Linked DNA regions of Oryctolagus cuniculus. The protein of the gene in region 2 interacts with the protein of the main gene of each other region in a pairwise test. Links are inferred from orthologs where the notes say so. Each region holds a gene or a part of one and is shown on either strand. Other genes may lie near its edges.

Region 1 (4,040 bases), about 15 Mb from region 2:
TCTTTTGAGTCTCCTCATTCATGTTTTCAACAAATAAATACTGCAATAACTAACAAAAAATTAGTAGAAAGCTGGGCAAGAAACTTGACTTTTCCTTAAAAATAAGTGGGACGGGCCGGCGCCGTGGCTCAATAGGCTAATCCTCCGCCTGCGGCGCCGGCACACTGGGTTCTAGTCCTGGTCGGGGCGCTGGATTCTGTCCCGGTTGCCCCTCTTCCAGGCCAGCTCTCTGCTGTGGCCAGGGAGTGCAGTGGAGGATGGCTCAAGTGCTTGGGCCCTGCACCCCATGGGAGACCAGGAGAAGCACCTGGCTCCTGCCTTTGGATCAGAGTGGTGCGCCGGCCGCAGCGCGCCGGCCGGGGCAGCCATTGGAGGGTGAACCAACGGCAAATGGAAGACCTTTCTCTCTGTCTCTCTCTCTCACTGTCCACTCTGCCTATCAAAAAAAAAAAAAAAAAAAAAAAAAAGACACTGGTGGGGATGCCTGCAGGCCATATTGGAGTGCCTGGATTTGAGTCTTGGCTCCACTCTGGGTTTCAGCTTCCCGCTAATGTGGATCCTGGGAGGCAGCAGTGGTGGCTCAGATAATTGAGTGGTGGCTCAGATAATTGCGCTCCCACTACACATGTGGGAGACTTGGATTGAGTTCCTGGCTCCTGGCTGTGGCTAGCACCTGGGGAGTGAACGAGAGAATGAAGCTCTGTTTGTCTCTGTCTCCATGACTCTCAAATAAATTTTTTTTTTTTTTTTTGACAGGCAGAGTGGACAGTGAGAGAGAGAGAGACAGAGAGAAAGGTCTTCCTTTTGCTGTTGGTTCACCCTCCAATGGCCGCCACGGCCAGCGCGCTGCGGCCAGCGCACCGCGCTGATCCGATGGCAGGAGTCAGGTACTTATCCTGGTGTCCCATGGGGTGCAGGGCCCAAGCACTTGGGCCATCCTCCACTGCACTCCTGGGCCACAGCAGAGAGCTGGCCTGGAAGAGGGGCAACCGGGACAGAATCCAGCGCCCCGACCGGGACTAGAACCCGGTGTGCCGGCGCCGCAAGGCGGAGGATTAGCCTAGTGAGCCACGGTGCCGTGGCTCAAATAAACCATTTTTTAAAAAATATTTACTCAATAGGCAGAGAGACAGAGAGAGAGAGAGATCTTCCATCTGCTGGTTCAGTCTCCAAATGATCACAACGGCTAGGACTGGGCCAGGCCAAACTTCATCCTTGTCTCTCACTGGGAGTACTTGGGCCATCTGCGGCCTTCCCTGGCACATTAGCAGGAAGCAGATTGAACGTGGACGTGGACTAGCCAAGGCTTGAACTCGTGTTTGATATAAGATGCTGGTGTCACAAGCAGCGGCTTAACCTGCTACACCACAATGGTGGCCACAATAAGTACATTTTTATAAACTTATTTAAAACATTTTTTAAAAATAGATTTTTTTAGGGCTGGCGCCTTGGCTCACTTGGCTAATCCTCTGCCTGCAGCGCCGGCATCCCATATGGGCGCCGGATTCTGTCCCAGTTGTTCCTCTTCCAGTCCAGTTCTCTGCTGTGGCCCAGGAAGGCAGTAGAGGATGGCCCAAGTGCTTGGGCCCTGTACCCGCATGGGAGACCAGGAGGAAGCACCTAGCCCCTGGCTTTGGATCTGCATAGCTCCGGCCGTAGCAGCCATTTAGGGGGTGAACCAACGGAAGGAAGACCTTTCTCTCTGTCTCTCTAACTATCTGTCAAATGAAAAAAAACATGGCTTCTTTCGATTTTCACCCTAGCTTCATTGAAAAAAAAAAAAGATTTATTTATTCATTTGAAAGGTAGAGAGAGAGGAAGAGACAGAGATCTTCCATCCACTGGTTCACTCCTTAAATGGCCACAACAGCTAGGACTGGGCCAGGTGGAAGCCAGGAGCCTGGAACTCCATTCAGGTCTGCCACATGATTGGCACAATACTGGCCCCAATAAATACTTTTCCAATAAAGTAAAGCAAACATCGGCTTGCCCCTGTGTCCCGTCAAGAGGGAGGAAAACAGGGGGAAATAAAACCGTACAGTCTGGTGGACTAGCCGAGTGGCCACTAGGAGGCTGATCTCTATTTGCTTTGAGCACAAGGCTGCTTCCCCTCCTCATATTCCTTGATGAGACCCTGACATGATGAAGCAGAGTTGGGAGGGGGCAAAGCCGAAGGGTCGGAGAAGGGGAGGACATAGAATTACCTGTCAACCATCTTCTTAAAGTCCGTGAACCTTTGAAAATTCTGCAAGAAAAGAAGTTGTGCTGACCTGCCGTGATCTCCAGAACCTCAGCCTCAGTACCCTCTTGCAGTGGGAGACACACAGGCCTTCCTCCTCGGAGACAGGCAGTGGTCAGATTGTAGGGGAAGGAGAAAGCAAGCTCTCCACCTTCACATGCAGGGGCTGGGGTATTCACCTATTTGAATACCTACTAAATGCTGGACAGTCTTCCACTCCTGTTAGTAACTTCATCCTTCTGTGACATCAAGGGCCTTTCCCAGTAAATGGTGCACTTCTGGGCAATTGGCCTGGAAACCTAATTAACATACTTTCAGCCCAGCCCCTCGCCCAACTGCACGTACCTCTTCTGTCTTCATCATCTTTTCCATGGACATGTCTGCAGACTTGTTTGATTCAGTCTTAGACTGAGTAGGCTCTCCTTTCTGTTTAGCTGTCACCGAGGTTTCAGTAGTCATAGCAACATTTCTGCCTCCCAACAATGTCCCTGAGCCTGCCAGTGGATTGGTCACCCAGCCTGTTGGCCTGGAGACCCGAAGGTAATCCTGGGTTTTAGCCTTTTATTAATGACACAGGCAGCTCTGTGAGCAAGTGCCACTGTCCCTATTTCAGGATTTCTTTTGTTGGGCTTCTCAACTTACCTGTATAGTCCTAGGTCCAAGGTATACAGAGCCCCAACAGTTCTCTATAGGCAAATGTTCATACCTTATCAGGAAGGTGCAGAGAACATATCGTATACCCATTTTTAAAGACTATTCCATGTGAGCACTTGGTCTAGCAGTTAAGATGCCCTCGTTCCACATGAGAGTACCTGGGTTCAAGTTCTGGCTCCCTCCCTGATCGCAGCCTCTTGCTGATGCAGACCCTGGGAAGCAGCAGGTGATGGCTTGAGTGGTTGAGTCCTTGTCACCCATGTGGGAGACTTGGAACGAGTTCCAGACTCCTGGCTTCAGTCTGGCCATTGTGGGCACTTAGGGAGTAAATGCCCACTTTTAAATATATATACACATACATATTTATATAGATATATATATATATACACACACATATAAGATTTTATTTGAAAGGCAAAGTTAGAGAGAGAAGGGGAGAGAGAAATATCTTCCATCCACTGGTTTACTCTCCAGATGGCTGCAACAGCTAGGGTGGGGACAGATTGAAGCCAGGAGCCAGGAGCTTCTTCCAGGTCTCCCATGTGGGTGCAAGGGCCCAAGTACTTGGGCATTCTTCTGCCATTTTCAGGCATATTAGCAGGGAAACGGGACTGAAGTGGAGCAGCAGGGACTTGAACCAGCATCCATATAGGATGCCAGCGTAGCAAGCAGAGGCTTAACCTGTTTCACCATGTATATTTTTAGTAATTCATCTTATTGAAGTTATTGTATAAAATCATATCAGTGCATTGGGAAAACCATTTCTTCACACACATAGCCTGGAGTAAATTATGGCAGGTGTCAGAAAATTTTTTTCACAGCATATTTTTAAAAAATTTGAGTTAGAGGGAGAGAGATCTTTTATCTGCTGGTTCAACCTTCAGATAGCCTCAATGGCCAGGCTGAAGCCAGGAGCCAGGAGCTTCACCCACTTCTTACATATGGGTACAGGGTCCCAAACACCAGGGCCATCTTCCAGTCCTCTTCCAAGCCACCACCAGGAAGCTGGATTGGAAGTACACTAGCAGTGACTTGAACCGCCACCCATACGGGATGCTGGCATCACTGGCAGCAGCCTTACCTGCTACACCACAACTGCCTAGTGGATAGGATGAGTCTTGTCAGGAAAGCTGTTAATCCTGGTTTA
Region 2 (3,973 bases):
GACAGCCACCATCCTCAGTTGCTGATGGAGAGACCCCATCTTCACAGCCATACAGACACCAGAGGCTAGACGGAGCACGGTTGATTGCTCTCCACCCTTCCTGATGAAGGACTGACATCCAACAGCATAGGAGAGATGCTGGATACAGAAAGAAATGTGATCATTTCACTCTAGCCAATTTTCGCCTCTTGTTAAATTCCTTTCTTTGCCACACATTAAGAACACTGTCATTAGATGAAAAGACAAATCTGTATGCTTCTGATTTTAACTGCTTTGCCTTTTAAAGTATATGTTGCTCTAAGTATATAGTATCTTGAACTTTGTGGATCATGACTCACAGTAATATGTTTTATGTCATAACCCAGTACATTCACAAAATATATACAATTTAAAACAAAAGTTCATGAAAGCTACCCTCACGGCATGCAGTAGATGTGGTAAGTTTCTATGTTAGTCTTCTTTGTTAATGCTGGCTACACACCACAAATCTACTTCATGACAGAATAATAGGTCACCTCCAACAGTTTGAGAAACATAAGCCTCGCCAAGTAGATGATATATAGCTAGACAGACAGACAACAGACAGTCTGGCATCTGCATACAGACTGTATCTCATGTTATTCTGCCCCATGTACCTCCCAAAGCAGCTAACCCTGCACCACCTCACAACCCAGTTTCTATTTTTGTACTCTATTAAACCATAAGTTGCTCAAATTTATGCTTGCCCCTTTCTGCCTCAGGAACTGTGATCTTGTTAGTGCACCCTGAAGATCCAGATCAGCACGTTTTGTATCATTTAGGTCTCAATACCAAAAGTCCTTTCTTCAGAAGGGCCTTCACTGACCATCTAATTGAAAGAATCACCAACCATGAAACCCCAGCCAGGATGGGAACAAAGAAGGCAGGCAGAGCACTTTACTGCTGTTTGCTCTTAGCATTGCCGGAAACTCTGAGTGAAAACAGCAAACAAAGCAAAAAGTAGCAGACAGGAAAAATAAACAGTATTTAATGAATGTCACTTTTCAGCTCCCTATGCCACTGCACAGGTCATTGAATTCTAAGCACTGATATTCTCTACCATTTGCCACATGACGGCTTTAACGATGCTCTAGCTGAGAAGTGAGGACTCTGTCCTGCAATCTCCTTCTCGTTCAGACCACTTACCTCATTCTTTCCTCTTCTCTTATGCATTCAGCAAACATTTGAGTGCCAAATATGCTCTAAGCAATAGCAGTGAACATAGTAAACATCTATACCTCTAACAGTTCACAGTTTAGGAAGGGTGACAAAGCTATAAACAAATAATTTCAAGTAAAGGTGGTATCTACAATAAAAGAAATGTGTACTATATACAGTGGTGACAAGAAAGAATAAACAGTTACCTCTTGTGGAGTGTAGGAAAAGCCATGACAGAAAGAGAGACACTTAAGCTGAGTCTTGGAAGGATCAATAGGAGTTTCATATGCAAGAAAAGGGAAAAGGGCAGAAGCAGTACCATGTGCCAAGCAGAGGGAAGAGACATACTGCCAGTTTGAAGTTGTCTGCTATGTTCAGTAGTAAGTAGCTAAAAGGCAAACGGCTAAAAGGAGTATCCAGGAAAGGGACAGCCAAGAAAGAAGCTAGAAAGGTAAGTGCTAGCTTGTGGAGGGCCTCTTGTGTGCCATTCCAAACTTTACTGTAGGAAACGGAAGTCTAGACTTTCAAAGAGGTGAGTAGCATTAACAGATGGGAACTTAGTAACTTCTTCCTTGTGGCAGAAAAAACGATAGATTAGAAAATTGCCAGACCAGACTGTAAAAGAAATGAATATAATAGCTAACGTAAAAATGAGGAAATTCTAAACAAAAATAATGACCAATTGAATATGGGAAATGTCAGAGAAAGGGGAATGTAGGATGTCACTGATTTCTAGTTTCAGTTATAATACAGTGGTATCATTAAATAACATGGTGAAAAACAGGAGAAACCAGGCAGAAAGACAGCAAAATCACTTATAGGCTTATTGAAAATGGAAACATGGAGCCTCATCCCTATTCATGCAAAAATTTAGGAGGGAAGCTCAAGCAAGTGAATTCTAGAAGCTCTCAAGTGATCCTGAAAGTTATTCCTGTTAAGCAGCACGGACATAGCAGGTAGTCAGCTGGATGCAAGCGAGCCGATCCACTCTACAAATATGATTAAGGGGCCTTTACAGAGTGTGGGGCAGTGCTCTGGCACTCCGCGGGGCAGACTCCAGGCCCTAGCGAGATTCGGGCCAGTGTTGCCACAGTCACCTACACACCACCATCTGCCTTTTAGGTGGAACGTTACTGTGAAGTCCACAAGCCTGAAAAACGCACTGATGAATAATGCATACCCAAAAGAGGAGGCTGGTTTGAAATAATATCTCACCTGAGGCTCCGCGTCTTAACCCTAAACTTTCTGTTGCCTTACTTTAAGGGCTTACGGTAATATTAGAGCGGAATTCAGGGCGCTGCAAGAAACAGAATGGGGAGAATGCAGGGACAGCCCACGGCAAATGGGGGAGAGAGAATGGGGAGAAGACAGGGTTGCGGACGCCTCCGAGGGCCCATCGACCCAACACTTGCGAAGCTGCGTAACCAGGAACCCGGAGCGGCTCTTCTGGTCGGCCTTAGCACTCACCATAGTTTCAGGATCTCAGCACGAGGAAGCCGAGTTGCCCCAGGAAGGCACCGCCATCCACACCATCATCCGGTTACTCTGGCAACAGGGCCCCGCCCCCTGCCGGACACCCCGGGAGACGTCAGCGGTCAGCCCCTTCGTCCCTAGTGGCTGGGAGTCCTCGCAGTGACGCCCAGCTCATTGACAGATCCGCCCCTTCACGCTGTCTCCTGGGGCGACAGGACGCCTCCCGCCTCTTGCCAGCATTTTCACTTCCGTTTGGTTGGCAGATGACCCGGAAGTTTAAGTTAACACGCGGCTAGGCGCCAAAGAGCGCACTATTTTATTTTGAAATAAACCCCTCTCCAGCTTTCCATTGATGAGGCGAGACGCTGTATCGTCTGCGTTACTTGAATTTAAACGCACCACAGACTGTGTGTTCTCGCCTCTGTGGGAAGAATATTCCGGAAGTGAAACCCTGGGTAATCGGAAGTGATCATGACTGACACAGCGGCTGGTTGTCCGGAAGGCCTGGGCGGGTCTGCTTCGGCATGGGCGAGGAGCGAATCCGGGAACCTGTAACGTGAAACCGCCGAAATAGAAAAGGAATCCCGAGGTAACTTAGACGATAGGCTTGTGTAACTCCGAGGTGACGCTGGAGAGGCGCGCGCGTCGGTCGGAGCTCGGTGGCCAGTGGCGTCGGGTATAGAGAAAGAGTGGACCGGGGAGGCTTGTTGTGACAGGAACGAAACTTGGCGTTGGAATCCCCGGGACAGCCACGCCTGCAGCCTTGGTTCCTGGGCATCCTGGGTATTTGCCGTCAGACTGGCTGCTCCTGTACGTTTCGCAGCCGGTCTTCAAAGCGCGGTTTCAGGACTCGGTACGCCGGGTGCCTGTTTTTAGAGCCGTGGAATATAAGTGGAAGAGGGTTTGTGACTGTTGAGGAACCTGTCTTGGGAGGCCTTAGACTCACTGATCGTTTTTGAAGCCGGGAGTGACCTGTTCTGTTCATCACATGAGTGCCACCCTCCTTGGCATGTTTTCCGGTAAATCTGAGTATACTCTAAGGTTGTGCATACCTTTCCGAAAGTATCTGTTCCATGTGTATTTCTCTCTGTTGTTAGAAGCAACATCATTTAATTTTTTTTTTTTTTTGACAGACCTAGTGACAGAGAGTTAGAGAGAGAAATATCTTCCATCCCCCAGTTCGCTCCCCAGATAGCCTCAACGGCATGAGCTGAGCCATCAAAAGCCGGAGATGCTTCTAGGTCCCGCACGTGGGTGCAGGGTCCACTGCCTTCCAGGCGCGCTAGCAGGGAGCTGGATCAGAAGTGGAACAGCTAGGACTCGA
Region 3 (3,970 bases), on a different chromosome or scaffold from region 2:
TGCCGGACACCTCCGTGCCTGCACTTCTTGGCTAAGGGATGAGGAGAGGCAGACACGCAGGAGGCAGAGGGTCCATGTCCGAGTTAAATGAGACGGGAAACAGATCCAGGGAGGAACTGAAGGGACCCCTCCCACTGCTGCTGCAGCTGCACTGCCTAAGCCCACCCTCTCCGTGCACGGCAGCCCATGGAGACCCTCTCGCCTTCCCCCCCTCCCCTTTGGCTCCTGCCAGCCCCTGTGCCTGGACTGTCCCTCCCTTCATCTCAGCACGTGCAACCCTGCGCCGCCTCCTCCAGGAAGCTTTCCCTGGTGCAGAGGTGACCTTTTTTGCCCTGCGGGCCTCCCCAGCAGCGCCCATCACCTCCTCCCCGGCAGTGGCCCTTCCTTCCCCGGCCGGTCTGAGCCCATGCTCTCCGCTGTGGCCAGAGCATGCCTTTGGCACACTGGCATGCCTGGGCACCCAGAACCAGCGCCCCTCACCTGTTCGCTGGGCCGGCGACGTGCTCCTGGAGGCGGCCCCAGAGCCTGGATGACTCCTGGCCTGGGCTGTGGGGGGCTGTACTGGGGGTAGGCCAGAGGCCTGGCGTAACTGCCGGGCCCCAGGAAGTGAGGCTGCACCATCCACTGCACCTCCTGGCTGCCACTCACAGCGTTGATGCTGGGCACGAGGTGGAACTTCTGGGGGAGAAGGAACGGAGGGCCAGGGTGAGGTCTGCGTGGCTCAAGGAGGTCCGAGCAGAGAGACTCTCCCGCCGTCCACCCTCCGTGCAGATGCCGGTTCTGGGAGACCAGAAGGAGCCCGGCTTGGCAGCCAGAGACACTGATGGGTGGCAAATCCCTGCTCACGAGCTGTGTGACTGTGGGCAGGGCACACAACCTCTCTGCTCACTGCCAGACACCTTCCTGGCCACAAACACTGACCCATGTGCTTGGCACAGCAGGGGCTCCATTTGCAGAAGCTGGGCTCTCGGCCCCTCCTGTACCCATCCCCCTGGGGGGACAAGGACAGCCCCGGAGCGCCTGCGGTGGCTGCGAGAATGGGGCGAGGGAACGGGGGAGACACTGCTCAGCTCTGCTCAGCCACTGACAGGGGACTCAGCGAGCTATTTCATCCCCGTGTGCCTCAGTTTCCCATTTTGCTGTTATCACAGAGGAGGATCGCAGCATTTCATTGATGCTAAGAAGTCTAGCAGCCGGCGTTGTGGTTGTGGACATAGTGGGTAAAGTCCCTGCCTGCAGTGCCAGCATCCCATACGGGTGCCGGTGCCGGTTCCGGCTGCTCACCTGGGAAAGCAGTGGAAGATGGCCCAAGTGCCTGGGCCCCTGCACCCATGTGGGAGACCCAGAGGAAGCTCCTGGCTTCAGATCAGCTCAGCTCTGGGTGTTGTGGCCATTTGGGGAGTGAACCAGCAGATGGAAGACCTCTTTGTCTCTGCCTCTCTATAACTCTCTTTCAAGTAAATAATTTTCTTAAAAAAAAAAAAAAAAAAAAAAAAAAAAAAAAAAAAAGGAAGTACCAAGCCGGCGTCGCGGCTCACTAGGCTAATCCTCCACCTTGCGGCGCCGGCACACCGGGTTCTAGTCCTGGTCGGGGCGCCGGATTCTGTCCCGGTTGCCCCTCTTCCAGGCCAGCTCTCTGCTGTGGCCAGGGAGTGCAGTGGAGGATGGCCCAAGTACTTGGGCCCTGCACCCCATGGGAGACCAGGATAAGTACCTGGCTCCTGCCATTGGATCAGCGCGGTGCGCCGGCCGCAGCGCGCTGGCCGCGGCAGCCATTGGAGGGTGAACCAACGGCGAAAGGAAGACCTTTCTCTCTCTCTCTTTCTCACTGTCCACTCTGCCTGTCCAAAAAAAAAAAAAAAAAAAAAAAAGGAAGTACCATCTAATAAGCTCTGAAATCAGACACACCAACTTAAACAACTTAGTGACACCAAATAATTGTGGATCTTTTACTCCACGGGGTCTTAGATTCCACGAAATACGGTAACGGAGGTGCCCAGTGCCCAGCGCCCAGCACAAGGCTGGCATGGCTGTCAGTGCTTCCAGTGCTAACTGGGACCCTTCTCTTTCTACCAGAAATCTGAGGACTGGGCTGGGATGGGGGCGCCTTGTTCTGGAAAAACTGGGTTCCAGCCCTCCGGACGGGCCCTGGGTGTGGGCGCCTGGTCGGCCGGGAAGCGCCCCGCAAGCCCAGGCAAGTCCTCGCAGTGCGAGCCCAGCGGCCCAGCGACCCCAGTTCCGGGCCCGCGGCACTGCCGGCGGCGTCCCCAGCTCCGGAGTTTGTCCGGGCCCGGGCCACTCGGGGCCAGGAAGGGAGGGGCGCCGCGGGTGACTCAGCCGCCGTGACTCGGCCGCCGTGACTCGGCGGAACGGACGCCGCGCCTTCCCTCCCCTGGCGACACGTGCTCGCCGCCCCTCGACAGGAAATGGGCACCTGCAGCTCCCCAAGTGCCCCCAGCCTGCAGTGGGCGCCGTTCGGTGCCGAGGGCAGGGGCGCGCGAGCTGTCCCTGGCGTCCGCCCCGGCACCTGGCCCAGTCTCTGTCTGAGTCCTTCCGCCACGGGGTGGACAGCCGGCCACCGGGAGCCCAGAGGGTCCCACCGCCCCGGAGCCCGGCTGCACCGCGCAGAGGAGGGGGCTGGAACCTGACGTCGCGGTAGACGGGGGCGGACACACAGGAGGTCACCGACAGATCCCGCCTTCCTGCTGCGTCCAGGGGTTCCCGACGTATCCCAGGCGCGGGATGCCAAGGGGGAGACGTCTGCTGACCGCCCGGGGCTGGGACATAGCCCGGACGTCATACGTCCCTTCCGAGGCGGGCGGGACGCACAAATGAGCAGTGGACCGCAGGTAAGAAAGAAGGTTCCCGGGAGGGAAGAGCCGGCGGCAGGGAACGAGGGGGCGGGCGCGCGTCCCTCTGGGTTCTGGGGGCAGCTGGCCCCCGGACTGCGGAGAATGGGCAGAACCCGCGGTCCCGGCCCCAGGCTTCGCCGCTTCCACAGCGGGGCGCGCGGGGACTGCCTCCGGGGTCCCAGGCGCCGTCCCCCCGCCCTGTCCCCAGGGACCCCGGTGTGCCTCCCTCTCACCTGCGGGGCCGCCGCCTGCGCCGCGGCGGGGGGCTGCGGGGGGCCTCCGTACGCGCCGCCGGCCCCGGAGCTCGGTCCGGGTTCCCCGAAGTCTCGGTACATGCCCTGGGCTGGCGGCTGCTCCGCGCGGTCCGCGTCGGAGGCTTGCGTTCTGACTCACGCGCACCTCGCGGAGTCTTCGTTTTATGAATGAAAAGTTGTGGGGCTGAGCCGCCGGGACCGCGGGGGGCGGGGCGTGCGCGGCGGCGCGGGTCCCCGCGGGGCTCCACCTCTCCGGACGCGCCGCCCCGTGCCTGGGCGCCCTGGGCGCCTCGACACCGCCCACCGTTCCGGGGGGAAGGGGCCGCCGAGGCGTCCCCCGAGCAGCCGCCGCGCCGGGGCCGCCCCTCTGACGTAGCTGCCCATACATGGTGCGGTTTCCTCGCCGCGCCCAGGTGCGGCCGAGGATTCCCCCGCGGACTTACGCACCTGCCGGGAGCCTGCGAACCCGCTCGACCTGGGCCGGCCTCGGCGAAATAGAACGAAGCCGACGCGTAGCAACCTTGCCACGCCGGGGAGGCTGGGATGAAGAACGTGGACCCGCTGGAAGCCGCCAAATGGATGAGAAAAAAAAAGAAAAAGAAAAAAAAACCACACGTGGTACCTAATTCTGGCTCTCACGATTTGCTGGAGGCCACGTGATGCTCCTCTGCCGCTGCTGTCCCTAGGCTCCAGGGGGTAAATGACAGGCCCCGCCGAAGTGGTGGGGTATCTTAACTCCCCCCCCCCCGCAAAGCAGCTAGCGCTGTGACCGGTCCACAGACAAAATGTATTATTTGGGGCGACCGCAGGAGCGACCACAAGTGTGGATCCAGAGCCCCCGCAGGCAGTGGGCGTCTCTCGCGG
Region 4 (3,928 bases), on a different chromosome or scaffold from region 2:
ATTCAGCTTCAGCAGCGACGTGACCTCCCCGGTGTCCCCCCTGGGGAAGCTCCGGAAGATCCTCTCCACGCTCTCCACCACCATGCGCACCATCTCTGGCTCTAGGCGGTCTGGACTCCCCCCAGTCCCACCCGCTGCCAGACCCACGGCCCCAGTCCCCTCAGGGACTCCTCCCCCTGCAGGTGGGGAGAAGGGAGGTGAGCCAGCCTCTTCTTCCCCTCCCGCCCCAACGTCTGATTCTGGAGTGCTCCGGCCCGGCCAGATCCGGGGGTCCCCCGTTCCAGGACCCCCCGGCAGTGGCGACAGCTTCTCTCCAAGTTCAAGGGGGCTCTTGGGGCTGAAACTGCGGGCACCGCCCGCCTTCTCTCCTGGGCTGCTGTGTCCATTGCTCATGCTGCCCTTCCGGGTACCCGCAGTCTCGGAGATCTTGAAGAGCGGGATGCTGGAGACAGGCACGGCAGGCACCGGCTGGCTGAAGAGCCCTGGATTGGTGGCCCACTCTCTCAGTGCCTTCTGCAGGCGCCGCACGTGGAGGGGCTTGGTGGCCATGCCCACAAGTGCCATGATCTCCAGGAACTCCTCCTCGCCGGCCTCACACAGCTGCTGCACGTCGTCCCCTCCCTGCTGGATGAACGTCTCATAGTAGGAGAGGAGATTGGCCCGCTGCAGGACCCGGTACAGCTGCAGCTCCCCCAGCGTCCGAGGCAGTGCCATGGCTCGGGCACTGGGCCTGAGAAGGAGGGGCGTGAGAGAAACAGTGAGTGCAAGGCCCCCGGCTGGGTACCAACCCACACTAACAATTGTTCTCTCTCTCCGTCGGTTTCTTCTCTCCCTCTGCCCAGCAGCGCCCAGCACTGAGCACAGACTCTGAGACTTGGGCACTACTCGGAGGCATTGACATGCCACTACATCCCACACTAGCCAGAAGCACCCAAAGCCAGGGCCTTGTTGGCGGGAGTCAAAGGCTCACCGCCCCCACCCCCACCCCATCCTCAGCTTTGCCCTTTCTGGCAGGGGTAAGAAGACCTTAGGCACACCCCTGGGATGGCTGGCCCTCCCTCTCTCCCCCAAAACACTTGGCCCTCACCTTCCACCCTAAACACCTCAACACAAGTGACATCACACACTAAGGGGAATGTCCCACTCATCCTTCCCACAGTGGACACTGGGGACCACTGCGAGCCACCTGCACTCCCTTGGGGGCATTCTACCAGGGTGGCTGGGAGGGAGGGGTGTGTCCCCTTCCCTGGTCTTCCCACTAGGAGCCAGGCTGACCCCTGCTCCTGTGCCCCTCAGCTAGCCCAGGGATCAGGCACTCCTGATGCACCTTAGCTCTCCACCCCGCCCCCTCCGCCCTCCCATGCTGCCCAGTAACCTCCCCTCGCGCCCCGCTGGCCCCTCTCCAAGCAGTGACCTTCCCCACTCACTCCCCTCTGTCCCTTCAGCTCAGACGGTGGGGGAGGGGAGGGGAGCTCGATTGTTCTGCTCTGGGGCCAATCCGCCCACACACACTCCCACAGCGGTAGCGTCTGTGGGCGAACCCCGCCTAGGGGCTCCCGCCTACTCTCGCCTCCCTTAATTTCCACCCACACTTTCAAGTGGAGTGGGGGAGCGGCTGCACACCCAGACGCCCCTCTTCACGCTGTGAACGAAGGGGCAGCAGGGGCAAAGGACGCCGAAGGCACCCCCTGGCTGCTCAGGGCTTTGCTGCTATTCCCGTAACTGAAAGGCGCCGACGTGTGCGGGACCCCCCCCGGGGGGGGGGCAGCGCTCGGCGCCAGCTGCAGACTGAGCCGGCTGAATGCGCCCCACCGGGTACTGTTGCCAACTCCAGTCCTTGGGCTTCTCCTGGCACTTGCGGACTCCCACAGTCTTTACAGGGGGCTCACACGCCAGTTCAGGCCCACCGAATAAACTGGGAATGGAGAATCAGGTGCCGCTCTTTCACATCAAGTTGCAGCGGATCCTCGGCTGCTCCCAGGGTCCCTTCATTCGAAGACGCACCCCCTTTTTTCATCAGTCTCCACCTCCCACCCCCGTCCCGGTTCCCCACGTCCTCGCCGCGACCTCCGCCCTCCGGACCCCACTCCCAGTCCAGCTCCACCCATCTCCACTCCCCGCTGTCTCCCTCTGCCCACTAACTTGAGTCTGGGCTGCGGGGTCCGGCGGGCGCTGTCCCCTCCGCCCGGCGGCTGCTCAGCTGTGGGGGAGGGCGCTCTGTGCATGGACGGCCGGAGACCACCCAGGCTGCCCCTCCGGATGCCCGGCGCTCGGCGCCTGCTGCGCGCTGCGCTCTTCCCTGCGCGCGATGCCGTGTCCACCGCTGTCCAGGCTCCGTCCCTCCCTCCACGTCCTCTCTCTCCGAGCCTCCGCGCCTCAGTCTGTGCCTCTACCCCCCCTCCCCGGCTGCTCTCGCCGCCTCTCAGCGCCTCCACCCCCGCAGGACGCACGGGGAGCGAGGCCCCGCGCTGCGCTGGCTGCCGGGCTGGCGGGCGGAGGGCGTGGGCAGAGCCGGGGGCTGGGGCCGGGGGCGGGGGGCGGGCGCCCGGGCCTCTCGGTCTCCGAGACGCCGCGGCGGAGAGACAGAGAAAGGCGGAGACTGGGGGGGAGGGGGTGTGGAGCGGGAGGCGGGGGCGGGAACTCGGAGCCGGGGAGCCGAGTTGGGGACCGAGGTGACCGAGGCCGGGCTGCGGAGGGCGGGCTTGGGGGCCCGGCGGGCGGGGCGAGGTCGCTCCATGCCGCCCACGCCGGATGCACAGCCGGCCCTCTCCGCACCCACGTACCCACGTGAGCGCCCCGCCGGCGACATTCCTACTCCCCCCCACCCCCCCGCCACCCCTACCTCTCCGAGAGGAGAGAGGAGTTGCACAACCACGCACAGGTACACAAAGACACGGGGAAGCGCAAGGACTGCACACGCGCCTCAACAACCGCGCGGACGCCCGCTACCCGCACGCAGGCCTCGCGCTGCCGTACGTGCGGATGCGGAGAGCCAGCCGGCGAAAGTTGGCGAAGGGCTCAGGGCGCGCGGCTCCTCCAGCGCGTGCCTCTCCTCCAGCAGTCTTGCGCTATAGGATCCCTTGGGTATCCCAGCCCTTCCCCTGCCCTCAAACGAAAAGATTGGAAGGGGCCGCTCTCGGAGACCCGGGCCGCCTCCATCTCTGCCGGCCTCGGGTCGTTGCTGAAGTTTTAAACAGGGATGGGCGGGCCATGCTAGAAGCCACCAATTCGGCGTGCGCGGCTCTGCCGCGCCAGGTTGGTTAGTCCGGCCAGCAGGGGCGGCGGCGGCGGGGGGGGGGGGGAGGGTGCGCCCCGCTTTCCTCTGCTCGCCGCCGCCCATTGCACCAGGACGGGGCCCTGCTCCTCGGCCGCTGTGTGTCCCAGGTAGGATAAGGATACCGTTCTGGGACACCTATGAGTCCGGGCGGCGAGCAGAGACCGGGTGCTCCCGAAGTGTCTGGCTGCGGCCGGAGGGGCGCCTTCCCCGGGGCCGAGCCCCCTCCGCAGCCCACCTCCCCCTGGGTTTCTCCTAGCCCATCTGGTTCCCATTTCTCTCCCGCCCACGGCTCGGAGGGTGGTGGGGAGGGGGGGAGGTGTGCAGGCGGGGGCTCCGAGGGCCTGGCCCAGCGGCTCTAAGCCCAGGGGAACTGAGGTGGGGGCGGCGGGAAGCGAGCAGACTGGCCGAAGGCGAGGGTACTCCTGGTGCGAAGCCTCAGCCCCGCCCCGCCATTCCGCGCTTCTGAGTGGCCAAGCCGGGGGGTGGGTGGCGTGGGCCGGGGCTGGTTCTACATTCCGGCCTGGCCAGGGGACCTTGCTGTCTCTGGTGGGGGCAGGGAAGGAGGGGTGGCCTTGTTGGTGGCGGGATTTCAGTAGTTCAGATTGTCTTCTCCATCCCAGGAAGCTCCAGACGCGGTGGGGGCGGCGGGAA
Region 5 (4,300 bases), on a different chromosome or scaffold from region 2:
TCCCCAGCACCCTTACCCGCTTGTATCGTGCTTTGGCATCACAGAAACGATTCTGGCGGAAAAGGTAGTTGCCAAACTCCCGCTCCGTGGCTGCCACTTTTAGGACCTTCTGAAGTGGAAACTGGTCTTGCTGCTCCTGGAGACCAGATAAGAATAACCAGCAGTGGACCCCAAAAACCATCCTGCCCCGAGGGGTTGGCTCTCTTATATGACAAGCTGTCAACCACTTCCCGTGTGTGCAGAGGCCCCTCGCGGGGTGGGGCCGAGGCCAATCCACAGCTGGAGCCCTCCCACCCTGTTCTCCGAAGCAGCACTTGCCCTGGAGCTAGGAGCTGGGGGAACCCACCAAGCACAGGGATCAGGGCTCCCGGCCTCGATGCAGCCAACAAGCAGCGAATGGCGCTGCCATGCCCAGAGCCCTGGTAGCCTGCATGGTCACGCAGCGCAGCCCTGGCTACGTATCAGAATCACCCACAGGGCTCCCGGTCCCGGACCCGGCCCGGAGACCCTAAGTCGGGCACCAGCGGTGGAACCCGGATGTGCCAGAGTAAGATGCACTATCGTGCCGAAGCCAGCGCCCACGACTGCTGATGGGCTTGGCAGGCCCAGAGCGAGGCACGGGGCTGAGTGTCAGGCTGTGAGGCACAGTGACTGTGTACCCTGGCTTGCCGGGCCCGGCCCGGTCTCCACCCGCTGGCCCAGGTATCCCAGTCGGTTACCAGCCCCTTTCAGTCACAAGCCCCAGACAGGACAGTTACAGATGTCCTTGCTGAGACGCCACGCTTACTGCTGACGATGTCTCGTGGCGACAAGGCCAAGGGTGGCTGTGAGCCCAAGGTGCTGCCCCAGAGCCGACGGCGGGCACCAGGAAGCGGAGGTGCGGGGCCTGGGCCAAGCCTGCAGGGAGCCGCCCAGCACCCACAGCCACTTACCGCAGACAGGGCGCAGAACGTGTCCGACTCGGCCGAGTCCAGGAAGTCCAGCAGCTCGATCTCGAACAGGACGGTGGTGTTGGGGGGGATGAGGGGCGGGCAGCCCAGCGCCCCGTAGGCGTAGGTGGGCGTGAACAGGAACCTGGCCAGCTCTCCTCTGCGCATGCTCAGGAGGCCCAGCTCCATGCCCCACAGCGTAATGTCTGCAAGAGATGCCCAAGTGGAGAATTTCCTGCGGCCAGGGAGTGAGGCTGTGAATAGCCAAATGGCCTCTGGCAGAAAAAAGGTTCCCCGTGCGAGGTGCGGCTTTGCTAAGCACACCTGCAAGGCTGCTAACTCCTAGGCCCTCATCTGACTCTCCCCCAGGGGTCGCCTGACCATGGGTCAGTTTCCACCACCTGGTGAAGTCCTTAGTAGGAAAGCAGCTGCGGATCGTGGGCCTGGTGCTGTTGCATCAGTGGGCTAAGCCTCCACCCGCGGAGCTGGCATCCCACACAGGCACTGGTTCGAGTCCCAGCTGTTCCACTTCCAATCCAGCTCCCAGCTAATGGCCTGGGAAAGCAGCAGAAGATGGCCCAAGTGCTTGGGCCCCTGCACCCACGTGGGAGACCCAGCAGCTGCTCCTGGCTCCTGGCTTCGGATCGGCCCAGCTTGGGGAGTGAACCGACAGATCTATGACCTCTCTCTGTCTCTCCCTCTCAAATAAATAAACAAGTCTTTAAAAAAAAAAAAAAAGCTGCGATCTCGAGTAGTTTTCTCTCCTCCCAAGTATGTCTGCAAGACGTCCACTTGATAAACAGGACACAGAAGCCCACAGGCAACCTTGCCAGGCAGGCCATCTCTCAGACACCCAGGTTTCAAAGGCAAACACGGAGGGGAGGGGGGAAGAGTGTGACTGCCTGACCACACTCCAGCCTCAAAGCACTGGGCGGTGGGACCCCCACCCCGACCCCCGGCCGCCCCCCCGGGGGGGCATTTACCCTCTCCAAGTTTCATGAGCCGTGGAGACTTCCTAAAGCAATTGGAATCGAAGGGTTTGTCCATGTGCTCCAGGTAGCCAGAATATTTGACTGGGACCCAGAAGGGGAGGAAAAAAAAAAAAAAGAAAGAATGAAAATGTAAGGGAGCCCCCAGCAGAGACACCTGCTCCTTCTCCCACACAGCGGGGCCCCTCATGGGCTCTGACAAAAGGGAGATGGGGGATGGGCAGTGGGGGGGGATGGGAGGCAGGGGAGGGGGGTCCCTCCCGGGGGGAGTCCCTTCCCGTGAGGGGGGTCCAGGGGGTCCCTTCCGGGAGGTTTCGTGGGGGGGGGGGTTAGGCCCTCCCTCTCCCCCTATCGCAAAGGCAAACACAGCCGTCGCGCACGCGCCTTGTGAGCGCGGCCCCCGCCCCCGCGCCCACCCCAGAGGGCTCACGCGGGGGCCTGGTCCCCGTGGTACCGAGCACCGACGCGTCGGGCGTCACCAGCTCCCCGACGCCCTCCCGGATGACGTCCTTGAGCACGCCGCGGTCCCCGGAGATGTCCAGCATCCGCTGACTCAACCGCTGGTACACGGACTGCCGGAGACCGCAAGACGGCGGGCCTCAGGGCTCCAGCCCCGCTGCGAGCCCCAGGCCCTCGGCGGACCGCACCCCACGACCTTACAGCCCCCACCCCCACCCCCGCCACGAGCCTGCCGGGCCCTGCCCCACCGCCCCCATTTATACCAAGCAGTCCTCTCCCGACGGCGCCATGCCGTTCCGGGGCCGCGCGAAGCCGCTCATGCCGTTGCTGCAACCGCCGCTCGCGCTGTCGCACGCGCGGGGAGCACGTGCCTGGGGCTGGAACGCCGCGGGCACGTGACCGCGGTGTGCGCATGTGCGTCGGCCCGCAGTGGCGGATGGGGTGCGTGCTAGGGCTGATGGAGTGGGGGACACGTGACTGGGGCCACGCAGAGCGTGATGACGGGAGCACATACACCTTCGTGAGGGGGCAAGGAGCGCGCACCGGGGACGTGCGCGCCGAGGGCGGCGGAGCGCAGGTGACAAGGGCCGGCAGAGCCTGTGGCCTGGGGCGCGTGCTGGGGCGCAGGCCGTGGCCAGTGAGACGTGGAGCGTGTGGTGGAGGGCGTGGGGAGGGCGCCGGGAACCGGACGGAGGCGTGGCCGGGGGCTGGAGCAGGCTGGCAGGGGCGCGTGCTGCTTCCCTGCTCTGTTGCCTTTCGGGGGCCGCTGGGTCCAGGAGAGGACTTTGGGCGTCAAGCCGCCGGGCCCTGGGAGGAGAGGCGAGGTACCCCAGCTTGCTAAATAAGAACCTGCTGCACCTGCCCCTTGGGATTAAGGAGGGCTCTTGATTGGCTCCTGGCTGTTCCCCGGGTCTGTCTCTTGTCTTGACTTCGGGTTCATTTCCTGCGGCTTCTGCTTGCCTTAAAGCCTCCCCCCTCTCTTTTGTTGTTGTATTTGAAAGGCAGAGCTACAGAGAGGTCTTCCATCCACTGGTTCACTCCCCAGATGGCTACCACGGTGGCTGGGGCTGTGCTGGGATTCGCACGTGGGTGCCCGGGCCCAGGCACTTGGGTCATCTGGTGCTTTTCCCAGGCCATTAGCAGCGAGCTGGATCGGAAGTGGAGCAGCCAGGACTCACACCGAGGCCCGTGCCAGCATCTCAGGCAGCAGCTTTACCCACTCTGCCACAAGGCGGGCCCCAACAGTGGGTACACTTGATCACTCCGACCTTTAACTACTTTTTTTTTTCTTTTGCTTTCTGAGTTTTTATCACTGTTGCAACAGAGTAGCACGGAGCTCTGCAGGAAACTACACCTGCTTTAGTAGAAGTCCAGTGCTGTTCTCCCCAGCCTAGAATCAGAGTGGCAGCAAGGCTGCCGATGGACTGGACACTCTGGGGAGAATCCAGCTCCCTGCAGGTCCCCGTCTCCCTGTTGGCTGTCACCTTTTTATTTATCTATAAATAAAGAGGCCACACTATTTATTTATTTATTTTAAGATTTATATATTTATTTGAGAGGCAGAGTTACAGAGAGAGGGAGAGACAGAAAGAGAGAGATCTCCCATCTGCTGGTTTACTCCTCAGATGGCCACAGTGGCCAGTGCTGGGTCCCAAGCACTTGGGCCATCAGCTGGGAGCTGGATTAGAAGCAAGGCAGCTGGGACATGAGCTAGCACCCATATGGGATGCTGGCATCGCAGGTGCAGTTGTACCTGCTACCGCACAATGCCGGCCCCTTGAAGTGTGATTCCTGTGGGGGGGGGGCAGGGCGGCCTCTTACTGAACCTCTATCCTCTCTGTTCAATGCCTGACATTGAAACCTCAGGACATGAGACTGGAGGGGTTGACAGGGAAAGCCAGCATTCGTGGGCGCTACTGGAGG
Region 6 (4,254 bases), on a different chromosome or scaffold from region 2:
GGCAGACCGGCCGAAGACCTGGGAGCTCTGGGAGTAGCCACTTGTTATGCTGCCCACACTGGTGAAACTCAGTCGGGTCTCCTCACCTTCCAAGAGTTTTCTGGGGAGACCAACAGAGGGTAGGGTTAAAATTAAAACAACCTAGGAAGTGTATTTAATGACTTGCTCTAAGCCCACCTCTCATCTGTTCTCCCAATGCCATCCTACAGGCAAATGCAAACAAGAGAGGGCTGGGAATTACCAATATCCAATGGCTAGGAATTTTATGAATGAGACTGGGGGTGGGGGGATACAGAATAAAGTACGTTAAATAGTTCTATTAGATTTTAAGTGTAATGAGAAGCTAAAAACAGGACTTAATATTACAGGGTAAAGTTCTTTGATATTTGTCTAAACACTTGCTCCTTCGAAGAAGCAAACTAATCATAATAATATCTCATTTCAGAGGGCTATTGCAGAAGGCTTCTGGTTCAACATGATCTAAATGGCATCTGATTTTCTTCCAAGGCTTTCTGGCTACTACCTTTGCCCTTCTGTTGTTACCTGTAAGCTGCAATCTCAATATCCAAAGCCATCTTCACATTGAGGAGGTCTTGGTATTCTTTTAGGTATCGTGCCATTTCACTCTTTGTGGTTCTCAATTCATTTTCTAGTTTGTTGATCGTGTCCTGTTGGAAGACAGAAAAAGAAGAAAATCTAAGCATCAATTCCTACTGCTATCATTTTACTGTAGCTCAGTTACAAACACTCAGTTTCAGTTAGAGTCGAGGGGCACACCTTTAATAAAAATCTCCCCTAAAACAGCTGCTCACTCTTTTTTGAAAATATTTCTCGCCTAAAATATCCAGCTTCATGAAGCATGAGAAGAAAAAAAAAAAACTAAAGAAAGAACATTCCTTTAAGACAATATCCTCAACTAGTACAATCTAAGGAGCATCAGAATATGCCTGCATGGAAACTAACTTGACAGAAAAGGCTGGATTCTCATTTATGGGTTAACTCCACTTTAGCCAGGTCACAATCCAGAAAATTCATCCATTTCTTCATAAGAGAAGGAAGTAGCTAAATTGCTTATACTTTCTCTAAAATATTTCCTATATTTCTGCTCCCCAGCTAGTTACCCAAGACAAATCTGTCTGGGTTCCTGTCCACCTGCTAAGGGGAGGAGTAGCTGGTACTTAACCAGTCATAAAATATACTGGCCACAGTAACCTTTCGGGACTAATTAAGACTTACTCGCTATGGTTATTAACCAGGTGATCCCACTGGTGTTGCAAAGTAACTTCAGGTGAATGCAGGTAGGTAGATGGCCCGACATCCCTGCAGGCCAGGGCAACGCCCTACTCCCACCTCTCCCCCGCCCCCGCCTGACCCCTCCCACGCTGGGCAGCTTCAATGCGGAACTCAGACTCCACTGCACCACTCACACACCCAGACTGCAGTAGCGGCCCCGCCCCACCCAAGGGCCCCGCCCCTCCCACACCGTCCCCTGGGAGCACAGTGCGACCCCTACCAGCCCTGGTCTCCACTTTTTGGGCGCAGCTTCAACTCTCCCCCTGCCCCGACCCCCGCATTCTGCAGGTCCCCGCCCCCGCCGTGTTTCGCACCAGGCCGCACCTGCATAGCACTGATGTCGGCGTTCTGCTTGTCTTCCAGCTCCTGCAGCTGCTTCTCCAGCGCTTCGTTCATGCCCCGGCATGCTTCGATCTCCAGGGTCTTGGCCTTGAGCAGGCGGCGGCTCTCGGACACCTCGTCCTTGGCTGCGCGCACGGCGTCGGTGTTCTTGGCGGCGCTCTCGGTCAGCACGGTGAAGCGGCTCTTGAACCACTCTTCGGCGTTCTGCATGTTCTTGGCGGCCAGCTTCTCGTACTGTGCACGGATGTCCTTGAGGGCGGCGGAGAGGTCGGGCTTGGAGGACACGTCCATCTCCACGGAGATCTGAGCGTACTGGATCTGCGCCTGCAGCTCGGCGATCTCCTCTTCGTGCACTTTCTTCAGAAAGGCGATTTCGTCCATCAGGCTGTCGATGCGCTTCTCCAGCTCAGCGCGAGCGAGTGCCGCCTCGTCAGCGCCTTTGCGCGCCTCCATCAGCCTGCCTTCGGCGTCCTCCCGGCTCAGCACCTCTTCCTCATAGCGCGCCTGCAGGTTGCGAAGGGTCTCCTCCAGCCCTTCGCGCTCGCCCTGGAGCGCCTGCTTCTCGTTGGTGGCGTCTTCGGCAGCCAGGCGCAGGTCGCGGATCTCCTGCTCGTACAGCGCCCGGAAGCGGGACGGCTCCGAGTGCTTCTGGCGCAGCACCAGCAGCTCGGCTTCCAGGACCTTGTTCTGCTGCTCCAGCTCGTGCACGCGCTCGATGAAGCTAGCGAAGCGGTCGTTCAGGTCCTGCAGCTGCGCCTTCTCCTGCGTGCGGATCGACTTGAGGTCGTTGCTGATGGCGGCTACCTGGCTCAGGTCGAGGTTTTCCAGGCTGGGCATCAAGGAGCCGGAGCTGGAGGAGTAGCTGCGGCGCACGGACAGCGAGGAGGAGACCGGTGCCGAGTAGCTGGAGTAAGCGGAGCGCGCGGTGCTGTAGCCGCTGCGCACGCTGGAGATGTGCACCCGGGGCGTCTCCACGTAGCGCCGCTTGTAGGAGGTCGAGTAGTACGGCTCGTAGCTGAACGAACTCATGGTGGCGGCCGGTGCCCCTCTGGCCCGCGGCCGGAGATGGGGCCTGGAGAGAGAAAGAAGGACGGGGGAGAGAGGGAAAGGAGAGGATGGATGGCTGTGTGCGGCTCGGCGCCGTCCTGCCACCCCTATTTATACGCCGCGAGGCTTCTGACGCAGCCTGCGATCGATCCCGGCGCGCCGGCCAGTGGGGGCAGCGCGCTGCTGCAGCCAAGGGGAGGATTCTGCGCAAAACGGAGGGCGGGGGCGGCGGCGCGGGGCCGCTGAGCTGCGGCTCTTCTCCTTTGCACTTTTCTCTGAGGCCCTTTCTGTTCTCTGAGACCCTATATCCCCGCACCTGTGTCCTGTCCTTTCCCACCCAGCCAGCCGCAGCCTGCTTACCCCGGGACCCACGTATCACTCAGATGCTCAAGTATCCCCAGCCATTGGTTCTCGCCGCCCACTGACAACTTAGTTTTCCATAACCCGGTACCTCTCGGAGACCCTGGCCCGCAGCCCACCGCTTCCCACCAGGGACCTCTTTGATCACCCCTCTTCCCCACTTAGTGTTTATGGCGACGGTGCAGTGTCGCTAGTGGTTTGAGAGGAGAATAGGCTGTGGTTGCACGTATGCGGCATTTAGCGAGGAAAGTTTCGCGTTTCTTTGCAGTTTTTCTGGCACTTTCTTTAATTAATCTACCTTTCTCCTGGGCCCCCTGACCCCCGGAGTTGGTGGGCTGCTTCTCAGCCCACAGGGTTCTGCCCCCCTACCTACACACGTGCGCGATTGCGGCGTGCATTGCAGGTGTTACCTTTTATCATTTCTAAAGCTGTAGGGCACTGCCTCTGGCTTCCTAAATTTTCTTCTTTGTGGGGAAGAAAGCCTTGGAGGCTTTCGGTGTGTTGACGACGCGGGTAGACGGAGGGAAGCAGAGGAAGAGTGACGCTACCAAGGAGAAGACCCGCTTGCTAGGCGGCGGCTCGCTCTACGGCGGGCAACTGACTTCAGGCTGCCTGGCTGGAACTTCCCCGAGCTAAATCCCTGCTTCGTGGACTTGACACTACCGACTCCCTCCTATTAAAAGCCCCCTTGCCCGCTTTGTACACCTGTGTAACACCCAACCTGATGATTTCGAAAGGCCATGCAGGTGGCTGATTTTCATAGGGAAGCTGCGGCGGCCAGCCTCAGGCGTCGGGTGTGGTCTCCGGAGAGAACTCCTGGAGCTTGCAGCCAAAGCAGCCGCGTGATTCCTCCGTCGGGTCGCTATGTTAGGTAGATTAGAAAGGCAGTCAGAAATCTATGGGTTTCTTATGGAAAGCACCCGGATACCTGAAACAATGTGCACGCCTTACAGCACGTGGATACGCCTTTCCACAGGGGTTGTTTGGAGTTCTACGGGTTCATGGGGAGAATTGCAGAGATTTACATAAAATCCCTAAGGTTTTTCTAAGCATGCTCTTAGCTTTTGTTTTATTTGCATGACAGCATTTGACATCAACTTGATTTTTTTTTTTTTTACAGAAGCAAACTTTCCAAATGGAGAAATCAGAATCTCTTTGCCTGTGATATGCTTTCCCTGAGTGGTACCACAGTTGCTTCCAGAGGCACTGCAC
Region 7 (2,872 bases), on a different chromosome or scaffold from region 2:
TAATCCATGTAATGCTACATGCCTGCTGCTAGATCTCGCATCTGCAATGCCGTGCCCGGTCCCTTCTTTTTTTTATTCTTAAAGAGTTATTTACCCATTTGAAGGTCAAAGCTACACAGAGAGAGGAGAGGCAGAGAGAGAGAGAGAGGGAGGAAGGGAGAGAGAGAGGTCTTCCATCCTCTGGTTCATTCCCCCAATTGGCTGTAACAGTCGGAGCTGTGCCGATCTGAAGCCAGGAGTCAAGAGCTTCTTCTGGGTTTCCCACGTGGGTGTAGGGGCCCAAGGACTTGGGCCATCTTCTACTGCTTTCCCAGGCCACAGCAGAGAGCTGGATTGGAAGTGGAGCAGCTGGACTTGAACCGGCGCCCATATGGGATGCTGGCACTGCAGGCAGTGGCCTCACTTGCTGTGCCACAGCGCCAGCCCCGGCCCGGTACCTTCTAAGGCAGTTGCAGCCCGTGTCCCTCATGCCGACTTGGTAGTCATGGCCTTGCTGAGGCTGTCATAGAGCCTTGGGAAAGAGCTGCTTCGTGCTAGTAGCGGCCTCCCCAGGCACCGGGGTCCTTGGGATGGGCGGTAGGCGGTCCGTGTGGAGCCCTTGGTGCGGTGCTGGTGTGTAGTTTGTGCTCTGACTGTCCACGGTCCTCACAGGGCTGTCCTGGATGCATCAGGGGAGTTCTGGGGGTCAGCAGGATGGGCCTTTGCAGCCACGGCCTTCTCTTGGATTCACTCCTTGGGAACCCATTGGCTTGAACAAACTGGGAGCCATTTGCAACCTGCTCCGCACCGGCCTGGGTATGCGAGCCAGCACCCAGATTCCGCCCGTTGCAGCTGCGCCTGCCTCCAGGAGAGCAGAAAGACAGGCCGGGGGCAGGGTTTCCTGTGGTGCCCAGGGGTCAGGCAGGGTTCTCGCTGAGTTCTTGCCAGAAAGCACCAACTTTGGGATGTTACCAGGTTGGCGACACAGTCCCTAGGTGACTCAATGGCTGTGTCAGAAGATGGATCTTAAAGTTTTTCTTAAATTTATTTTTTATTTGAAAACCAGAGAAACTGAAAGAGAGAGAGAAAGATAGCTCTTCTGTCTACCAGTTCACTTTCCAAATGCCCACAGCAGCTGGGGCTTAGCCTGGCCTAAGCCAGGAACCCAGAACTTGATGTGGGACTCCCACGTGGGTGGCAGGGACCCAAGTACCAGAGTTGTCACCTGCTGCGGCCTCCCATGGGGTGCACTGGCAGGAAGCAGAAGTTGGAAGTGAAGCTGGGACCTGAACTCATGTGCGATGCAGACGTCCCGAGAGGCGGCCGTGTTGTTGACCTCTGCTCCTCACACCCACCCCTGGAAGTGGCTTTAGAGCCACGGCCTGTGCTGGGCGCTCCCACCGAAAGGGTTCCTCGCTGTACTTGCTGTGGTCACCGCTTGTTTTTCCGTCTCCGAGGAAGCTCCAGGCCTGCCCCCGTTTTCCCCTTGGGCCTCCTCCCAGGGCTCCCAGCTGAAGCCCCTCAGTTTTCATGGGCCGTGCTGGTTCTGCTTCTGGGCCAGCAGCTGATGCCACTCACAGACCTGCCCTTCACGTGTCAGGGAAACCACACTCCTGGGCTTGTTCGAGAGCTGCGCAGCAGTGATCCAAGACCAGGTGGTGAGAAATCAGCTTTAGGGCCGGCGCTGTGGCGTAGCGGGTAAAGCCACGGCCCAGGAAAGCAGTAGACGATGGCCCAAGTGCTTAGGCCCCTTCACCCATGTGGGAACCCTAGAAGAGGCTCCTGGCTTCGGATCAGCCCTGTGGATGGAACCAGTGGATGGAAGAGTTCTCCCTGTATGTCTCTCCCTCTATTTCTGTAACTCTGCCTTTCAAATAAATAAGTAAATCTTAAAAAAAGAAAAAGAAAAGAAGCCCCGAGTTTGCCTGAAAAGATAAGGCAGTCGTCTGAGGCCTTCTTGAGGGGCAGGGGCTCCTTAGACATGGAAGCTTCGGGCCGTGTTCTTCCACCACAGACGTGGCGCGGCGTCCAGCGCCAGGAATCCCAGGCCCTGGAGACGGCCTCGTGGCCTGCAGGGGAGCGAGTGGCCATCAGGCAGAGACCAGGCCCTGCGGCGTTGTTGTCACTGAGCCCTTTACAGCCTGGGGCGCCCGGGGCCAGATGGGGCTCCTTGCACCTTGCTGTGTTGATTGCAGGGCTTTTATTGGGGACACTGGTTCTCAGGATCCAAATGAGAAGTTTACTCTGCATGGGTTGTGGGACCAGGAATAGCTGTGCTTTTTAAAATATTTTTATAAGCAACCAGATCGTATTTCTGTGACAGTCGCTAAAAGGCTAAAGCTCCTCCCAGGTTTTGTTTTAGCAGCTGCAGCATAGGGCATGAGGTTGGGGCACACGTGCCCCAGGTCCTACCCCTAGCCTCTCTTGTTTCCCTTCCCTGCTTCCCCCCACCCCCACCTGTGCGACAGTGCAGGATGGGGGGAGGGGTCTGTGCAGGCCCCAGGCCCTGTGGGGGTGAGGTGCGGGTCAGCGGTCAGCGGCCTGTGCTCCTCCAGCTCCCAGGTCTGCCTCCAGAGCACCATGGCTAAGGTGGAGCAGGCGGTGGCCCGGCTGCCCAGCCTCAGTAACCGACTCAGCTATGCCGTCCGCAAGGTCCACACTGTCCGCAGTGAGTTGGGGGTGGTGGTGGGCTCTGAGCTGCATCCTGGCCCAGCCCTCTGATCCCTCGGCCACTTCCTCCTCCTGCTCACCAGCCCACACGTTTCTGCTTCCCGGACTCCCCTTGCAAACTCAACCTGTCGCTTTCCATCTTTTCTCTCCAGGTCTCATGGCTCGAAAACTGGCCCTTGCACAGCTGCACCTGGAGAGGTAAAGTGTGGGCAGTGTGTGTGTG

What was found.
Region 1: the proteins of NME7 (region 2) and CFAP141 interact in binary tests that used the Homo sapiens proteins (3 or more experiments, as listed by UniProt). The two-hybrid records come from large-scale screens. The link is inferred for Oryctolagus cuniculus from reciprocal best matches to the Homo sapiens genes NME7 and CFAP141.
Region 3: the proteins of NME7 (region 2) and FOSL1 interact in binary tests that used the Homo sapiens proteins (3 or more experiments, as listed by UniProt). The two-hybrid records come from large-scale screens. The link is inferred for Oryctolagus cuniculus from reciprocal best matches to the Homo sapiens genes NME7 and FOSL1.
Region 4: the proteins of NME7 (region 2) and NAB2 interact in binary tests that used the Homo sapiens proteins (3 or more experiments, as listed by UniProt). The two-hybrid records come from large-scale screens. The link is inferred for Oryctolagus cuniculus from reciprocal best matches to the Homo sapiens genes NME7 and NAB2.
Region 5: the proteins of NME7 (region 2) and FKBP6 interact in binary tests that used the Homo sapiens proteins (3 or more experiments, as listed by UniProt). The two-hybrid records come from large-scale screens. The link is inferred for Oryctolagus cuniculus from reciprocal best matches to the Homo sapiens genes NME7 and FKBP6.
Region 6: the proteins of NME7 (region 2) and NEFL interact in binary tests that used the Homo sapiens proteins (3 or more experiments, as listed by UniProt). The two-hybrid records come from large-scale screens. The link is inferred for Oryctolagus cuniculus from reciprocal best matches to the Homo sapiens genes NME7 and NEFL.
Region 7: the proteins of NME7 (region 2) and CCHCR1 interact in binary tests that used the Homo sapiens proteins (3 or more experiments, as listed by UniProt). The link is inferred for Oryctolagus cuniculus from reciprocal best matches to the Homo sapiens genes NME7 and CCHCR1.

Annotation. Positions count from the first base shown.
Region 1 is NC_091438.1:44,196,539-44,200,578, reverse strand, and holds the start of CFAP141 (cilia- and flagella-associated protein 141), read right to left. Parts: upstream 2,801-4,040; 5' UTR 2,699-2,800; coding exon 2,585-2,698; intron 2,246-2,584; coding exon 2,205-2,245; intron 1-2,204. UniProt on the Homo sapiens protein: Microtubule inner protein (MIP) part of the dynein-decorated doublet microtubules (DMTs) in cilia axoneme, which is required for motile cilia beating.
Region 2 is NC_091438.1:29,352,343-29,356,315, reverse strand, and holds the start of NME7 (nucleoside diphosphate kinase homolog 7), read right to left. Parts: upstream 2,801-3,973; 5' UTR 2,647-2,800; coding exon 2,644-2,646; intron 1-2,643. UniProt on the Homo sapiens protein: Possesses an intrinsic kinase activity. Displays 3'-5' exonuclease activity with a preference for single-stranded DNA. Does not seem to have nucleoside diphosphate kinase activity.
Region 3 is NC_091432.1:5,875,060-5,879,029, reverse strand, and holds the start of FOSL1 (fos-related antigen 1), read right to left. Parts: upstream 2,801-3,970; coding exon 2,645-2,800; intron 679-2,644; coding exon 481-678; intron 1-480.
Region 4 is NC_091442.1:59,719,723-59,723,650, reverse strand, and holds the start of NAB2 (NGFI-A-binding protein 2), read right to left. Parts: upstream 2,801-3,928; 5' UTR 2,226-2,800; coding exon 2,143-2,225; intron 731-2,142; coding exon 1-730. UniProt on the Homo sapiens protein: Acts as a transcriptional repressor for zinc finger transcription factors EGR1 and EGR2. Isoform 2 lacks repression ability.
Region 5 is NC_091450.1:50,639,309-50,643,608, forward strand, and holds the start of FKBP6 (inactive peptidyl-prolyl cis-trans isomerase FKBP6), read right to left. Parts: upstream 2,801-4,300; 5' UTR 2,698-2,800; coding exon 2,641-2,697; exon of another isoform or gene 2,491-2,640; coding exon 2,349-2,490; exon of another isoform or gene 2,289-2,348; intron 2,003-2,288; coding exon 1,913-2,002; intron 1,136-1,912; coding exon 933-1,135; intron 137-932; coding exon 17-136; intron 1-16. UniProt on the Homo sapiens protein: Has an essential role in spermatogenesis. It is required to repress transposable elements and prevent their mobilization, which is essential for the germline integrity.
Region 6 is NC_091433.1:49,228,057-49,232,310, reverse strand, and holds the start of NEFL (neurofilament light polypeptide), read right to left. Parts: upstream 2,801-4,254; 5' UTR 2,665-2,800; coding exon 1,618-2,664; intron 669-1,617; coding exon 544-668; intron 101-543; coding exon 1-100. UniProt on the Homo sapiens protein: Neurofilaments usually contain three intermediate filament proteins: NEFL, NEFM, and NEFH which are involved in the maintenance of neuronal caliber.
Region 7 is NC_091436.1:139,347,023-139,349,894, forward strand, and holds part of CCHCR1 (coiled-coil alpha-helical rod protein 1), read left to right. Parts: intron 1-2,534; coding exon 2,535-2,647; intron 2,648-2,801; coding exon 2,802-2,847; intron 2,848-2,872. UniProt on the Homo sapiens protein: May be a regulator of keratinocyte proliferation or differentiation.